Arabidopsis thaliana: one gene and its partners. The main gene of each other region encodes a partner of the protein of the gene in region 2 in a complex. Each region holds a gene or a part of one and is shown on either strand. Other genes may lie near its edges.

Region 1 (3,281 bases), about 18 Mb from region 2:
TGTACGTACACGTTTCCAATAAACGACTGAATTTCCCTGGATGTTGAGCAGTCTGTTGAGTGAGACTGACGTCTTCCTCAAGATTTCCTTGTACATATTCTTCTACTATTACATCGTTCCACTTGTTGTAATCGTATTCTTCGCCAATACCTTCACTACCGTCTGTGGTAGGATACAGGGTACTTCCCCCAATAGATCCATCCACACCAAGATAATCATCACACCCATCATCATCTTCGTTGCCCTCCTCCAATTCATCCGCTTCTGTTGTATCGTCTTCAACATCGGCTTGCTCCTCTGCATCCTCATTATTTTCATCAACATTTGTAGCACTATCAAACACACGGTCACTTTCAGAAACTTCACCATGAGACCTAGAGACAGTATTCCCGAACGCCTTCACTGTATTATTGAAAGAGACGAACAAGTTGAGAGAAAGATACCCACCACGAACCAAAAAAAACGTCTCGAGACCCATCTGACTGTCAATGTATACAGGAGGGCGTTTAGTATCTATCAGCACTGACATTTCACCCGGCATCCAGTAGCTAATTATGGGATTGATCTCGGTGGACTTCAAACTGAAAGCCTCTCGGAGTGTACGGACAAAGTCCGTGTACGTCATGGTTTCCTGAACGCGTACACAACGACCAAAGATGCCTTCCTCAGGTTCAAATTTCCATTCTCCTTCTTTGCATTTCCACTCACCGACCATGGTAAATACGGGAATATCCATAACCCACCTGCATCATAAATTCAGGAGACACACATTAAATGCAACTGAAAAATACTATACATATAAAAAACAAATGGAATGTCGATACTACACATTTATAAACCTAAATACCAATTATCATTTGACTATTTTAAACAAACAAATATAGATTTTGCAAATATTCTGATAAAAAAATGGAGTTCGAACACAATCAAGATCCTAATATGACATAAAAAAAACTTCTTAAAAGAACTTCATTACTTACACGAGCAATGCTCCAAACTTGGTACAAAAACAAGATCAACACTTCTTCAGCAGCAATGTACGTTCGCAATAATTCTTTGTTCCTGGGTTCATCTTCTTCATCTCAACAAATTTTTTTTTAATTATTATTAATAATTTTTTTAATATTATTTGATGTAATGATGATTTTGCATTAATTGTGACAATAGTCACATCTAAACTTTTTGGGGGCATTAAATGTTGATGTCACTTCGGAATAATCTCACTTGTAACGGAACCGAATCGCGTCAACGTGAACAAAAAATCTTCAACTGAACCGGAACAGTGTACGTAACTAAACCTGCTAAACTAAACCGTACATTTCAACAGTTGCTAAGAGAGAAACGCAAGGGCAGAAACGTCATTTTGCAGGCGAAAAGACAAATGGTGAAAACCACATTTGACTTTGACAATCCATGGAAATAAAACATGGTCAACGGATGTGGCCTGCAATTTACCCTATTTTCTATTCACAGTAAAAAATGATTATAAAGTTATTAAAATCTATTTAAACAAATATCTAGTTGCTCTATATAAAATATACATAATTATGTGCGAAAAACAATCACCGCACTAAGTTAGTTTTTTTTTTTTCTTTGGCTTTTAAGAGAAAAATGGAAATTCTCGTGTTTAACAAGAATTAGGAGAAACAAAAAGGAAATTTTGTGTTGTGCCTTAAAAAAAAAAGGAAACTGAAGTCTGTGTTACTCTACATAATCTAATCTCCTCTAACAACAATCCTAATAACCAAACGAAAATAAATTCAGGTGGCTTCTCGCTTTTCTCTTTCAGAAAAACAAACGTTTTTTTCTTTCGTAGTTTCGTTCGAGATGAAGCAAATTAGTAGCGGTGAAGTTTGGAGATGGAACAAGGAAGTAGAGATGAATTCGATAAGAGATTGTTTGAAACATTGTAGTTCCATCGCTATCGACACAGAGTTTCCCGGATGCTTAAAGGAGACTCCGATGGACGCGAGTGAGGAAATTCGTTACAGAGACATGAAGTTCAATGTGGACAACACCCATCTCATCCAGTTAGGTTTCACGCTATTCGACAGAAGAGGATTCGCTAAAACCTGGGAAATAAACTTGTCAGATTTCGACGAACATAAGTGCTTCAAAAACGATAAGTCCATTGCGTTTCTGAAAAGCAATGGTCTCAATCTGGACAAGATCAGAGAGGAAGGTATTGGAATCGATGAATTCTTTAGAGACTTTTCTCAGATTCTCACGGAGAAGGACGGAAAGATAACTTGGGTGAATTTTCAAGGCTCTTACGACAATGCTTATCTCGTTAAAGGCTTAACGGGAGGGAAACCGTTACCGGAGACTAAGGAAGAGTTTCACGAGACCGTCCAGCAGCTTTTGGGAAAGTTTGTTTTTGACGTAAAGAAAATCGCTGAATCATGCAGCGGACTAAGTAGCCAATTCGGACTACAGAGAATAGCTGATGTGTTGCAGATGAAACGTGTTGGAAAAGCTCATCACGCTGGCTCAGACAGTGAATTGACGGCTCGTGTCTTCACTAAGTTGACTTTCGATTTGCTTAATAGTAGAAAGCAGAGTGTAAGACGAGTTGATCATCAGCAATTTCAACTAGAGCAGCAACAGCATCAGCAGTTTATGATGACTAGATGTTACATCCCGATACCGATGCCGATACCGAGACCGAGACCGGTGATGTTTGCTGCTCATCACCAGAACCCGTATTTTGGTGGTGGTTACTTTAGGATGCCGGTCCAAGGAATGAACTATGTTTTGTGATCCCTGAATGTTTGTTTAACATGACTTGCTCTGCTATTATGTATAATTTCTAGTTTTATCAGATGTTTCTTTAAATACTAAAGATTAACTTTCATCTTTTCTTGTCGATCAAAACAATTCTCTTAACTCTCATATGACACAATTTCTCTTTACTGGATACTTTTAATGAATCTAAAAAGTTAGAATACAGTACAAATAAATTTAAATATCTTAGAATCTACTCAAAGCCTCTAATCTTATGTTATGTAGCTAAAGCTGCGTTCCTGTCAACAAAATTGAACAACTCTGTTTGTGCCGCTTCCATTTTCACACGGAAGTCTACGCACATGAGCTATAAACCACGCGGTATTTATTAAGTTGCCAACTTGGTCATTTACAAAAAGTCGAATAGGCTGCAACTACATTCTGCAAATTTTGTAAAGGGTGAAACTACCCAGTAAAAGAACTGTGTTCAAATAGATTTTTATTATTTTACTTTTACACTTTGACGTAGTTATCTTTAGTTACAAATTTATGGTCTT
Region 2 (6,166 bases):
CAAGAGATAAGCGGCGCGTGGAGATTACCAAGCGCGTGGATCATTAAAGGGAAGCCTGAAGGAGGTAAGTCTTGGACGTTTTCGACGCCGGAGGGGATTGAAGGGTGGGAGGGAAAAGGGAGGATAAGTGGTTCGATGTTAACTACGGCGGAGAGAAGCGGAGAGAGAAAAGGAAGGTTTTTTGGAGTGACTAGGACGGTTATTTTTAAGGCGGCGCCGCCGCGGAGAGCAAGGCGGTGGGTGAAGTCGAGGAGGGGAATCATGTGACCTTGCGCCGGAAATGGGAAGATTAAGACATGGGTCTTTGTCGGCTTGTTGTTTTCCTCGTTCACTTTCATAATGAGCTTTTCTAGTGGGACTTTTTTTTGTTTATGCCGGAATGTTTTGGTGGAGCAAAGAGAAAAGAGTGATTTAAATAGATGTGTGTTAACTGTAAATGGCCGATTTGTGTACCCAATGTATTCCCAACACTTGGAAAGAATGCTTACGACACTTTTGATAATACCGTGTGGTATTTTGATTAATGCAGCGTCAGATGACACTTGAGAAGAGCTTATTTTGGAGTGAACAGATTGAGATACTTTTTACGCAACGTCTCTTACATTGTTTTGCTTCTAGTAGCAAAATGGGTCTTCGCTCCTCATAGGTACACGTCCAGTAACATGCTATTTTGGTATTAACTTTTTAAAAGCAGAAAGAGTAGGTGCAAGTCTTGGGTAGGTAAGGTAAAAAAAAATGTTTCAAGTAAGCAAATCTATGTATGGGAATGAGCCCAAAACTTGTTTATGTTTTACAATTTACTGAATCTGTTTCCGAACTCCAATTCAGAAGCCTCGATGAGCATTCAAAAACCTCAAGGGATGGCCAAGTCAGGTGGCTCGGTTTAGTGGTTGGTGCTAACATTTTGGCTCATTGCCAGTCATTGACAAAGCCGAGTTCACATGCGATAGCGAGATGGTCGCTTCCCCAATTCTGCAAATTTTCATTGGTCAGAGACTTGTATGCAACTCTTCCAATAATCCCAGTTTTTACATTCTTGAAAAAATGAATAGAGTAACTCGAGAAAGTAAAGGGTTGCCCCAGAAAAAAAGTTTAGCCTAGAAAAAAAAACTTACCTCACTAGGTAGTCCACCTGTTCTTCTCAATACATCTGCTGGCAAGGTCTCAAGAACCCTCACAGGAACGAGTTCCTTGGTATGCCTGGGTTCAAAACCTCAGATTAATTATTGAGATTTCAAAATTACATGTGCATATATCACAACATTGATAGCCATATATAATTGAAAGCTCTGATTAATGATTCGGATTTCATAAGCACAACAGACTTACCATATATAATCAACAGTTCCAAGGAACCTGGAATGATACGTTGTTGCCAATGGTTCACCGCGTTGATCTCTAGTTCTATATGTACCCTGCAAGATCTCAGGTCTTAGCATACTAGAAGGATATATAACATCATACAACATGCTACTTTCCCTAAACGTTTTTCAGTATCTAGTATAAAAGAAAGCCACAGTTCCTAAGAACTTAGTTTTCCTGTAAGGCAGATTTCAACTCTTTTCGATGCGTCCACCAGTCGAGAACAAGAAACAAAAACACTTACAGGAACTCCACTATATGCGCTGTTAAGCTTCAGTTGATGTTGGACATGAGTGGTTTCTTGACCACCAGTTGCAAGCTGTAATTCTTCCTGGCTCCACTCATTGAGTAGTGATCCGGAGATGGATGCTGAAGCACTGACGAAAGAGGGAGTTGTTTAGTTAGACTAAATTGAGATAGAAACTTCATCTGAGGATTACGTAGTTGATTAAGCGCAGGCCAAAGAAAAATATAAGTAATCTATCACTCTATCAGTTCATCAGGTAAACAGAAGAGATATAAGCAATCTATCCGTTCATCAGGTAGGCAGAAAAGGAATATGGATACATTATTTAGAGAAACCAAAGACCCCGGTGAATTACAAGCTACCTAAATGCATAATGGTTTCTGAATGACCTCTCCTTTGGTTCCACTTCAGTCTGGCCAGAAATTTGCCTGCGATCGTGAAGTTGTGTATCCAACTGTCCAAAATTAAAAAAGGAATATAAAGAGTTCATTCTAACTTTCCCAGTAAAGAAAGGAAAAAAATTATGACCAGGCGAAATGTAAAAGAAAGAGTCCAGAACCCTCAATGGAACTCACATCAGCTGAAGCTATGAAATCATAGATTGCACTCTGTACAGCAAATCCAGAGTAAGTTTTAGAATTCAGCTAAAAAATAAGTATTAGAACAAAAAAAACAAAAGTTGGTAGAGATCACCTGTGGAGTGCTATTCAGATCACCTGCAATCGCCACAGGAATATTTCCCCATTCCTGTGATAGCTTGTAAGCCTTCTCCAGAAAGAGTCTTACCTATAAGTTATGACATATCAAATATCAAGAAATGAGCGAGCTACTTAGAATTTCAATGAAGTTTCAATACTGACAGGCATTGATGTACTGATGAATACCATAAAATAGTACTAGCTAAAAAATTGACATTTCTAAACTCAGGATGTGTAGTGACAGAAATGCTCTACCGATTTTATGGATAAGCCAGTTTTTATCAGAATTTTGTAAGGATCTAGCAAGACATACCTGGCCAAGCTTGATATCCCCACGCTTAGGATTGAATAGGACATGTATATTCCCAACCACTAGCCTTCGAGGACTAGTAGAAGTTTGCATAAATCAACCAAACATGGAAGTGCGCATAAAATTTAGTAAGGATCTTAAAAGTAAGTTCAATATTCACTCCAGTAAAGGAATCAGAACAGAACTCAGACATACTCTGATGATCGCACCCGTAATTTAGACTTTGGGTCCTCCTCACAGTTCATCTGTTCCGTAATAGACAATCAAGTAAATTAATTAATTGCAAGGGCTGAAACTAAGAAAATTAAGCAATTAGCCTGCAAAGCTGAAAACACAACAGGAGGGAAAAATATATAAAATAATGCCCACAATTAAGCTTGTCATATCTCTGTGCTTCTAGAATCAAGAAAAGACAGAGGAGAAAAGAGGGGGAAGACGACAATACAGAAATAACTTAAAACGGTGCATACCTCTAAAACACAAAGTTGAGCAACATTGTTTCGCATACCAAATTTATCAAACTCTATATGTTGATGGTCTAGAAGTTCAAATCTGCATTCACAGCAGAAATATAACATAAATGATGAAACTAGTAGAGTAAGAGTCTAATACAAAATAAATAACATCGAGAACAATAGAAAGCAAAGCTTTCAGCCTTGAACAATATATTGTGAAGCCAAGGTCAAAGCTGATAACATAACACAACGTGAACCTACCATTAACAATTTCGAAACATTCAAAACAGATAACTAGAAGATCTAATTTATCTCGTTCCAAAAGAGAGATATTCCCTGTAGACAATTCAAATGGCTAGATTCCTGATCCTGACTCCAGCATATAGAGACTTCCCACCACATTAAAAATGATCCTAAATAGAAAAAAACTGAACTTACAGATTCTCTTTCCAAAATATAGCACAACCATCACTCGCTTCTCCAGTCCGACTCTAAAAAATACTAAATGTATGAAAAAGGCACCATTGCATACAAGGTAATAAAGCTTTTGACTCGTATATATACCTTGTGAACACCTCGAAATCCTCTATTTTTAAGAAGAACATCTAAATCATCAAAGCGGTCAACCTCCTGCAATAAATTTGGACATGAGAATGCAATGAAACTTAAATAGTGTAGATCTAGGCAATCCCCTGGAACTTGCCTGAAGACATAAGATGCTTGCATTGTAACGACTAATCTCCTTGCATATGAGATGTTTCCGTCTACTCCACTCTAAGTGCTTCCGCGGAACATTGTAATACAAGTCCATGTGGTTCGACGCATTGTCAACACCAAGTAGATTGTACGAAACTAATACTAATTTATCTGAAGAATTGAAAAGGAGATATCAAGTTTTTCATACACATAAGATAAAAATGTGTTCAAAGTACGGAATGTGATACTTCGTGAAGCTAATAAAAGCATATAAGTGCATTATTCAGTGTGATTGCAATGCACACAGACCTGCTAGATTTTCAAAATTGTTTGCGGAAAACACCCATTCGCGCTCAACGGAACTCGAGATCTTCTCCTTAGTTCTCCGTCGCCGGCGGAGAGAAGACTTACTATGTCTGACAGGTTTACAATCACGCTGGCTGAATCCCGGCGTAAAAGAACGGTGAGGTTTTAAGGTTATTGACTCCTTCCTATTCGATTTCTCGTATACGTTCTCCGATTGTTCCGAAATCGAGTTACGCTTCCGCTTGGTGATGGTGATTGAGTTCGCCGTCGTGTTCTTACGCTCGTATCCGCTCATGTCAATCGTAGCAAGTCGGCGGCGCGTGAGCTATGCGTCAACCTTGTGAAGTTAACCAAATTCAGTCGGTTGAAATTCACGATTTTTACTGGTTAACGATTAAAATACGTACTTGATAACCCAAACCGGTTGGCTTAAGTAGTTGCCTAGTTGGGCTCTTTATGTTGGTTTTTTTAATTGTGTGATGGGCTATTCAGCCATAACTAGGCCTTAATGGCTTTTATTTCTTGCTTCATTTGTAAATTGTTGGAAATGGCATGTTCTAATTTGAACTTGTTTCTTGTTTTTTTTTTGTTTTTTTTAATTACACTTGTTTTCTTTGTAACATGTCTTCGCTACGAATTTTTTAGTGTTCGTTATTATCACACATTATGGCTTTTTTCTCCAATTCATTTGATAAACAAAGAGTTTTCATTTGATATATACAATAAATTACTCAATCAATCAATCTATAAAATCATAGTTGCCGGCTACAAGTCTACACAACCATCGGCCCCAAGAGTTTCAGTTCATTATTCAGTACATTACGACAATTACTTCAAAGGTCTTAATTACAAGATCTTTAAAGTGTTGATTAAAGTAAATCAAATCACGTCAAAAGTGACGTCCTCTTCACGAAACGACCTTTGATTCGAGGTCTCTGCTCAGCGTTAAGTTTCCGAACCTCATATCTTATTTTCTTTGAGAACAACCTCGTCCTCCGCTTCTCCTTGTACCTCAAAACCCTCGCCTCTCTCTCCCCGTCCGATCCTCCTCCGTCTCTCCCTTGCTGACGTGTCACCGATCCGTCGCTCGACATCAATTTCTCGTACCCACCCACAACATGAGGCAGACACGTGTTCCCTCCCAACTGGATCAGTGAACTTTATAACGTTATTTCGTCTTTTATAATCAATATATATCAGCTCAAAGTCAACGGAACTCGACACTACTAAAGACTAACATAGAGATGAGAGATATAGCTAGAGACACCAACTTACCATGCACTCCGGTTTGATTCCGGTTTTCCACGGCGAACCGTGATTATCCCAAGCACTAATCACAGCTCCATAATCTAATCTCAGAAACAAACTTGTCTTTCTATCTTTATCATTTGATGCTTCTCTATCACTATCCTTTGATCCTCCATTTTCACACTTGGCTTCTTCTTCTTCTTCATCTTCATCTTTCACCCTCTTCAAATCCTTACAATTAATCTCAAACCCTACTTTATTCTCTTCTTTGATGACTCCAACATCGTTTGGTTCCTTGAATCCCAAGCAAAGTTGTTCTTCCTCAAGTAAACTCTCCACGTCCATAGTGAGATCCTCAAGATCCATATCCAATGGCACGAACCCCATAAAACCTTCATCGTCCATGATTGCCTTCTCGACTTCTCCTAATTCTCCATTAGTAGTAGTGTTATTGACTTCATCAGGAACTAAGCAAAAGCCGTTTATATCATCAATCAGCATGTCTGAGAAAGGATCGAAAACAGGCACGCAACAATTCAGACTCTCCTCGGTTTCTTCTACGGAGGAGAACGAGAAAAAGCCATCATCTTCGTCTCCACCAAGCTCCGGAACAAGAGGATCGTTTGACTCGATTTGCAACAACTTCTCAAACGCACAACTCTTGCTCCTAGGCGTTCTCGCCTTTCTCCTGAATCCTTCGTACCATACCGACGTCGTTTTGTCTGCCGTCTCCGTCGGCGAAGATGATTGTAACCGGACACGTTCGTGCCGTTTCGCTAAATGGTTAGCCGAGTGGATCGAGGCGTCGCAGCTTTGGCATAGGAAAGCGTCATCGGCTGGACAG
Region 3 (3,535 bases), about 18 Mb from region 2:
CAGGTGTTTTTGCAGAGTAATCGCCAAGCCAAATTCACACCAAGAGCCATCGCGAGAATAATGCACGGAGTTGGAAGTCCAGCTTTTCCGAATTCAGTCTGGTCCAAGACTCATTTCTGGTATATTCATCATCATCAGCTAAACCAAGCCATGCAAGTTATTGTTTGGTGATGGTACATGTGATTTAATTGAAATATGGCTTTGCAGGGGAAGGTATATGAACGTAGACTTCCGAGTGATAATGGAAGCGGCACAAACAGAGTTGTTCAATTTTGTTGACAGGAACGCAGCTTTAGCTACATAACATAAGATTAGAGGCTTTGAGTAGATTCTTAGGATATTTAAATTTATTTGTATTGTATTCTAGATTCATTGAAAGTATCCAGTAAAGAGAAATTGTGTCATATGAGAGTTGAGAGAATTGTTTTGATCGACAAGAAAAGATGAAAGTTAATCTTTAGTATTTAAAGAAACATCTGATAAAACTAGAAATTATACATAATAGCAGAGCAAGTCATGTTAAACAAACATTCAGGCATCACAAAACGTAGTTCCTTCCTTGGACCGGCATCCCAAAGTAACCACCACCAAAATACGGGTTCGGGTGATGAGCAGCAAACATCACCGATCTCGGTCTCGGTATAGGTATCGGTATTGGGATGTAACATCTAGTCATCATAAGCTGCTGCTGCTCTAGTTGATATTGCTGATGATCAACTCGTCTTACACACTGCTTTCTACTATTGAGCAAATCGAAAGTCAACTTAGTGAAGACACGAGCCGTCAATTCACTGTCTGAGCCAGCGTGATGAGCTTTTCCAACACGTTTCATCTGCAACACATCAGCTATTCTCTGTAGTCCGAATCGGCTACTTAGTCCGCTGCATGATTCAGCGATTTTCTTTACGTCAAAAACAAACTTTCCCAAAAGCTGCTCGACGGTCTCGTGAAACTCTTCCTTAGTCTCCGGTAACGGTTTCCCTCCCGTTAAGCCTTTAACGAGATAAGCATTGTCGTAAGAGCCTTGAAAATTCACCCAAGTTATCTTTCCGTCCTTCTCCTTGAGAATCTGAGAAAAGTCTCTAAAGAATTCTTCGATTCCAATACCTTCCTCTCCGATCTTGTCCAGATTGAGACCATTGCTTTTGAGAAAAGCTATGGACTTATCGTTTTTGAAGCACTTATGTTCGTTGAAATCTGACAAGTTTATTTCCCAGGTTTTAGTGATTCCTCTTCTGTCGAATAGCGTGAAACCTAACTGGATGAGATGGGTGTTGTCCACATTGAACTTCATGTCTCTGTAACGAATTTCCTCACTCGCGTCCATCGGAGTCTCCTTTAAGCATCCGGGAAACTCTGTGTCGATAGCGATGGAACTAAAATGTTTCAAACAATCTCTTATCGAATCCATCTCTACTTCCTTGTTCCATCTCCAAACTTCACCCATCTCTCTCGGATTTTGAAGACTGAAACAGTTTGTTTATCTGAAATACTAATCTCTCTCTCTATCTGATTTCGGAGACTCGAATACTAATAGCAGTGGGAGTTTCCTTTTTTCTTACGTCGCCGGAAAGTTTCCATTTTTTTCCAGTCAAAAAGTTCGTGTTGACTTTTATCACTCCTAATTTAATTCTTGTTGGACACGAGATTTCCATTTTCCTCTCAAAAGCCCAAAATAAGAGAAGCCTGTTTCCGAAGCGGTTTACAATTTTAATACTAAACCGAATTAAATCACTAAACCGAAGTCTGACTAATACCAAAACCTTTTTCTTTTCTTTTTTCGTGTAAACATTATCATCTTTTAAACATAATACTAAGAACATACCAAATTGGGTTAAAAATTTAAAACTCATGTCGAATGAGAATAAAGAAAAGTTTAAGTTGAGCCAAAAAAAAAAAAAACAGAACATACAAAATTTGAAAATTGTCTCTAATAACAAATCTTCTACAGAAAGCTTCTCTTTTCTATTCTTTATAGGGCTAGTTGAATCTTGTATTTATGTTTGAGACATCAAATTTATTTCTGTCCTTTACGAGCAAGAAAGCGTTCTCTGGCTGCTTCAATCCGACTCTCAACATTTTCAGAAACTGCAGGTGTTTCTGCATTGTTTTTAGACAACTCCGTCTTCTCCTCAGGTACTTTGAAAGAGGGAGCCGGTCCACCGCTACATGGCAGATTAAATGATACCGATCAATTACTGAATCCAAGACCAGACAAGAAAAAGCTAGAACAAGACTGGATTGAACTAGTAAAGAGTAATGTTTGTTTTTACCTCAATTTTCTGACATTTAATTTCTCGATCTTTCTTTTGATGGGAGCCACCCATGCCATATCTACTGCACAAACATTCCGCATGAACGGACGTGTGGTGGAAATCAGCTCATGGTACACTACGTAGTTAGGCATCATTCCGTCATTGTCGGCACTCAATACAGATGATGGATGCACCTAGAATCAACCAAAAACGTCAATATGTCGATGATCATACGAAACTGGAAATGCTTACATATCTGAGCTACTGATGTAATAGAAAATCTAACACTGTAACAGATAAATGAGACTTGGATTGAGAAGTAATGCCTGGACTAGCTGGGACTGGAAACTAAGAGTCCGGTATCCATTGTGACGAAGCATTCTCTCAGCAATTTGGTTTGCATTACCAACGCATAGAGCTTTCCTCAACTTCCTGTAGTCGTCTCGGCTTGAACTCTTCCTACCATCTGCCCCAACTTCCAATCGATCTAGTTTGTCAAGGAGACCAAATATTTTAGTGACGGTTGGTTAGGTATGACACAGCCACCTATCACATCTCACAAGATAAAAGAGTGATGTTGACATAAACTCTGGTTCTGTTGGAGGCATAACCATTTAGGGTGAAAGCCATAGAGAAATAATTATATATTCTTTCACGGAATCTTCTTGTCATGAAACAATCTAACCTTTGGATATTTTCTGCATAATCTGACATAACTGTCTTCTAACATCTTTGACAAACACCATCCCTCGCACCTGCAAATTATTTTTCAACAAAAGTTATCTTTCTTATTGGCATAAGGAACCCACGTAATAATGTACCGAAATAGACTATCTAAACAAAGGTAGTAAATTTCAGTAACTCCCATAATTGTTGGTTATAAAACTGTATGAAGCAGAAAATACAAACATTGACGCCCATCGGAGTCAGGTCTCAACAATGAAGGGATTTTCTATGCTATATAGATTGTATTAACTGCAGAGACAGCATATAACTGACCACCTTCTGAAGTAACAATGCAGTAAGGCTTTTGATGTCACCATGCTTTTCACTTGGAATACTCGAGAATAGATAAGGAAGGAAGGAAGAAAATGGAACAATTACCTGCATGCCGTTCTCTTTGCACCATACAGGATCATAATTAGTACGGTCCCAAGATTCGAAAATCTGTAGCAGTTGAATGTGATCACCATATCCGGATCCATTAGGAAGATTAGAATCTTCATCATGTTTCCTCTTCTTTTCACTGGGTTTACTATCATGCAAGCAAAAACCATAAA
Region 4 (4,331 bases), on a different chromosome or scaffold from region 2:
AAATTATATGTGCACGTGATATTAAAGAATTTATCTACGTTAAATACATGCAACTGTTTAAATAATTCTTTCTAATTTAAGTAACAAAAATTTCAATTTTAGTTTCTATTTTCGTTTTTTTCGATTTTGATTTTAAATATAGAATTCTATTTAGATTTTAGATGAGCAAGCAATTACACGGTGAGACATATTTTTGGAGGGTAACAATTAAGTAAATTTTGTTATATATATAAGAACAATTATGCAGAAACTTTCATGTTTGGTATGTGTTGGATTCCAGAAGAAATTTCCTAAAAATGGTCGGATGATGAAACCACCATCTAATATTTCGTGACTTGACATTACTTGTTTATTTTTTTTAATTTATAGAAAAAGGTACACAATTATTTGATATAAAACAAGCTAATACATTAGTTTATATAAAAACGAATTAATTATTACAAAACAATGGATTATGCTTGAGGGTAAGTGGGAAGCACGATGATGCCTTGACTCCGTAATAATAATTAGAATTAAAATTCCTTTATCCCCTTTCTTCCTAATAGTTGTCTTTTTTTGTAAAAAAAAAAAGAACTTTGGTCCTCGTTTGAGTTGGAGAATCTTTTCATGTAATAATTTTAAGAAGAAAAACTGATTACGCTGGTGAAACTTGAAAGTTTTTTTCTAAAATAAATAAATCTAAAATGATTCTATTCATGAACGAAGATGATTGTAACAAGTGATGCATGTATCTCTATCAAACGTCTTCCCATTCGTTGTATGATTGCATTAATATTGGCCACTTGTAACTTGTAAGGTAGAAATCCCAAAGTCAATTCTATTATAATTAAAATTACTTTGTTTTGTTTAACAATTATGCTAACAAATCCTTCTTAATAACAAGATAACATAAATCTAAAATCCTTTTTTTGAGTTGAAAAAAAACAAGATACCATATTTTCAATTAATTGGCAGAACTACATAGGAAACAAATCCGAAATTGAAGAGTTTACATAGAAGAAAAAAAAACAGAAATAAAAGAGTTTACCTGGAAAATAATCAAATATTATGTTCTTTCAAATTTTCGACAAAAAAAAAAATTGATATTCTTTCAATTTTGTGAGATAATCAGTACAGAAATTATTAAAATGTGATATAAAATTGCGAGACAATCCGTAGGAATATTATTACCAAATGATATAAAACTGAGTTAAAATTGTAAGAAAAAGAAGTTTTAAGGTTCTTCAAATCATCTAGCTGACTAGCTCCATAGCAAAAATAAATAATTTTGATTGTTTATTAGCACAATCTGTTTCTTAACCATATAAATTTAGACTTGTACAAAAATCAAAATGCAGTTTAGTTTATACAACTTTTCCTATAACTATAAAGTTCGATCGTCATAATAAGGTATAACAATTTAACTCTAGTACCAAATGCTATAAAATACATAAAATTTAAGAATAATGGAGGTAGGTCTACAAAGCAAAAGAAAAAAAAAAGATCATGGAAGTTACAAACGAACGGAATTTCCGTGATACACATAAATAAAAATTGGTCATCATATCACACAATTCGCATCATTAAAATAATTAGAAAACGGACAATACGGATAAAATAATTGGTAACTGGCCAAAACGTAATGATTGATGTAAGAAGACGCACGGCAAAACGTCGTCGTATAAGCTTTTCATCGTCAAACAAAACGGCTTCGTTTCAAGGCTCACACTTGTCTTTATTTATCACTTCATCTTCTCCAAAGCCATACCACTTGAAACCTCTCTCTCTGGTTGACCCGATAATTTCTCTCTCGCAGACGCACAGATCTCTCTTCGAATCTGCTAGATCTGTTCCTTTTCTTACATCTGTATTGCGAAACCTCTGGTAATTTCATACTTTCATGTCTCTCCGTTTCATTTCGATTTTCGTTTCACAGCTAGGGTTTGCTTTTTGTTACATCGATTTCTGATTTTCCTGGTGTTGTTGCCTCTTCCTCAGATCGGAAGGTTTCGTTTACAGATCTACCGATACGAGTTTCGCAGTATTTCCGAGTTCCGACGTATGCTTTGTTTTCAGATCTGGGTTTGTTGTATATCTAGAAATGGCGGAGACTTTGAAAGAAGATTCGATTATGATTCGAGAGGTTTGGGATTACAATTTGGTTGAAGAATTCGCGTTGATCCGTGAGATTGTTGACAAATTCAGCTATATCGCTATGGATACTGAGTTTCCAGGTGTGGTTTTGAAGCCTGTTGCTACTTTCAAGTACAATAACGATCTTAACTACAGGACTCTCAAGGAAAATGTCGATTTGTTGAAATTGATTCAAGTTGGGTTAACTTTTTCTGATGAGAATGGGAATCTTCCGACTTGTGGGACGGATAAGTTCTGCATCTGGCAATTCAATTTCCGTGAGTTCAACATCGGTGAGGATATCTACGCGAGTGAGTCTATTGAGCTGTTGCGTCAGTGTGGGATTGATTTCAAGAAGAACATTGAGAAAGGTATTGATGTGGTTAGGTTTGGTGAGCTTATGATGTCGTCTGGGATTGTTTTGAACGATGCTATCTCGTGGGTTACGTTCCATGGTGGATATGATTTCGGGTATTTGGTTAAGTTGTTGACTTGTAAGGAATTGCCTCTCAAGCAAGCTGATTTCTTCAAGCTTCTGTATGTGTATTTCCCTACGGTTTACGATATCAAGCACTTGATGACGTTCTGCAACGGACTGTTTGGTGGATTGAACAGACTTGCGGAGCTTATGGGAGTGGAGAGAGTTGGGATTTGTCATCAAGCTGGGTCGGATAGCTTGCTCACCTTAGGGTCGTTTAGGAAGCTCAAGGAACGTTATTTCCCGGGATCAACTGAGAAATACACTGGAGTCTTGTATGGTCTAGGTGTGGAAGATGGTACTACTACTACTGTTGCTAATTAAGAAGAAAGGAATGAAAGATACTTTGAAAATTCCAGGGAAGTGCGATTAGATATATTTCTTTAGTCTTTGTGAGTGTGAGAAGACCAAAATAGAATCGTCGTTGTGTAAATTGGCAAATTGGTGTTAGTAAGTGACTTGTTGTGTCTTTGTTGCTTTGTTTTCAGGAAAACCCCTTGTGATCAAAATTTGAGGGGTTTTTGTTTTAGCTTGAGTTTCTGAATGTATATCAATTCAGCTACCCGTTTATTTAATAAATAATCTCCAATTTTAATTTTTCTTCTCTTTTCTTTTTGTGTGTGTTTTCTTCTTACTAGTGACCAATGTAACTTGACAGTGGCTTCTTGTAGTAGCGTTTGCATGTCTCAGCTTGCAGTTACTGTGTAATTCTTTGTAACCATACCAGTTTGAAGATGCAAACTGGTAAGTTTTATGCTTAAGAGAATGTTGAATCTTCCTGTGTTCTTCTTTCCCTCTTCGTTGATACAAGTTGATAAGGAGAACAATGAACTGCTTATGCTAGAGGTTATATGTGTTACATTGTTTAAAAAACAGAGCTATGGTAATCGATTGATGTATAGATTTGTTATTTAGGTGTTTATGATGTAAGTGGTATCATGTCATGGTTAATGTGGAGGAGAATCACATATGTATGCTGTTGCATTCGCCAATCACCTCAATAGCCAATTTATTATCATATTGTCAATGAGTAGCATTCTAATGCAATCAATGTTTTGTTGGGCAAGTATTCAGACGTCATCTGAGTCGCAAGTGGTACAGAAGATTACGAGATTTGACTGATTGAGACGTCGTAGCTCATTCAATTGCCGAAGAAAAAAAAAAAAGTATCAGCCTGTTGGAAGTATTATGTCAAAATGTGGATTTGTGTATGAACTCAGTTTCCATCAAGATAATTAAATCTAAGTTTCTCAAAACCTTAAATATTTCATTACACGAACTTGTTTGATGATCGAAAACATATGATCCAATAGCAACACGACACGAGAAATAAAGTAAAAAGAAGAAAACAACAGCAATACGGCAAAAGTCCGAGTCACTATTATGTAGGTGTGGCAGAGAATCAAATCTACTTCTTATTACAGAAGAAACAGTGTACTTGCTAGTCCTGTCTTTAACGGCTTCTCTGAGTCTCTTCACGTGTGTTTGTGTGTTGGGAATTGGGATTCTGATTTGGGCCTTTGTTGTGTGGGCTTTGATCAGAGGTGGGAGAACGTTTTTACCAAGGTTGAATTGGGATTCTGATTTGGGCATGTTTGTTGTTTTAGGGTTTAGTTATTATCAAATGACCACTATTGGCTATTGCTTTGCTTTAGGTAACCAAAAAAACGTTACATATTTAAATAAAAATGTGTAACACAGTGCGGACGAAATAGCATCAAAATTATTTATATACATATCA

Evidence for each region.
Region 1: AT1G73875 (region 2) and AT1G27820 share a complex: the UniProt entries of both Arabidopsis thaliana proteins name them as parts of the CCR4-NOT complex.
Region 3: AT1G73875 (region 2) and AT1G27890 share a complex: the UniProt entries of both Arabidopsis thaliana proteins name them as parts of the CCR4-NOT complex.
Region 4: AT1G73875 (region 2) and AT5G10960 share a complex: the UniProt entries of both Arabidopsis thaliana proteins name them as parts of the CCR4-NOT complex.

What each region holds. Positions count from the first base shown.
Region 1 is NC_003070.9:9,689,801-9,693,081, forward strand, and holds AT1G27820 (Polynucleotidyl transferase, ribonuclease H-like superfamily protein), read left to right. Parts: upstream 1-1,827; coding exon 1,828-2,760; downstream 2,761-3,281. UniProt on the Arabidopsis thaliana protein: Ubiquitous transcription factor required for a diverse set of processes. It is a component of the CCR4 complex involved in the control of gene expression.
Region 2 is NC_003070.9:27,779,315-27,785,480, reverse strand, and holds AT1G73875 (DNAse I-like superfamily protein), read right to left. Parts: upstream 4,627-6,166; 5' UTR 4,370-4,626; coding exon 4,078-4,369; intron 3,940-4,077; coding exon 3,776-3,939; intron 3,703-3,775; coding exon 3,637-3,702; intron 3,564-3,636; coding exon 3,511-3,563; intron 3,170-3,510; coding exon 3,088-3,169; intron 2,863-3,087; coding exon 2,813-2,862; intron 2,694-2,812; coding exon 2,621-2,693; intron 2,396-2,620; coding exon 2,303-2,395; intron 2,218-2,302; coding exon 2,185-2,217; intron 2,064-2,184; coding exon 1,972-2,063; intron 1,740-1,971; coding exon 1,607-1,739; coding exon of another isoform or gene 1,523-1,606; exon of another isoform or gene 1,416-1,522; coding exon 1,330-1,415; intron 1,201-1,329; coding exon 1,116-1,200; intron 973-1,115; coding exon 910-972; 3' UTR 561-909; downstream 1-560. Other genes in the region: UGT89B1 (UDP-glucosyl transferase 89B1), read right to left, coding at 1-338; BBX16 (B-box type zinc finger protein with CCT domain-containing protein), read right to left, coding at 4,959-5,219, 5,350-6,166. UniProt on the Arabidopsis thaliana protein: Acts as a catalytic component of the CCR4-NOT core complex, which in the nucleus seems to be a general transcription factor, and in the cytoplasm the major mRNA deadenylase involved in mRNA turnover.
Region 3 is NC_003070.9:9,713,598-9,717,132, forward strand, and holds AT1G27890 (Polynucleotidyl transferase, ribonuclease H-like superfamily protein), read right to left. Parts: upstream 1,580-3,535; 5' UTR 1,448-1,579; coding exon 539-1,447; downstream 1-538. Other genes in the region: AT1G27880 (DEAD/DEAH box RNA helicase family protein), read left to right, coding at 4-119, 208-304; AT1G27900 (RNA helicase family protein), read right to left, coding at 2,018-2,165, 2,274-2,449, 2,582-2,742, 2,941-3,010, 3,360-3,510. UniProt on the Arabidopsis thaliana protein: Ubiquitous transcription factor required for a diverse set of processes. It is a component of the CCR4 complex involved in the control of gene expression.
Region 4 is NC_003076.8:3,462,501-3,466,831, forward strand, and holds AT5G10960 (Polynucleotidyl transferase, ribonuclease H-like superfamily protein), read left to right. Parts: upstream 1-1,597; 5' UTR 1,598-1,863; intron 1,864-1,977; 5' UTR 1,978-2,080; coding exon 2,081-2,914; 3' UTR 2,915-3,814; downstream 3,815-4,331. UniProt on the Arabidopsis thaliana protein: Ubiquitous transcription factor required for a diverse set of processes. It is a component of the CCR4 complex involved in the control of gene expression.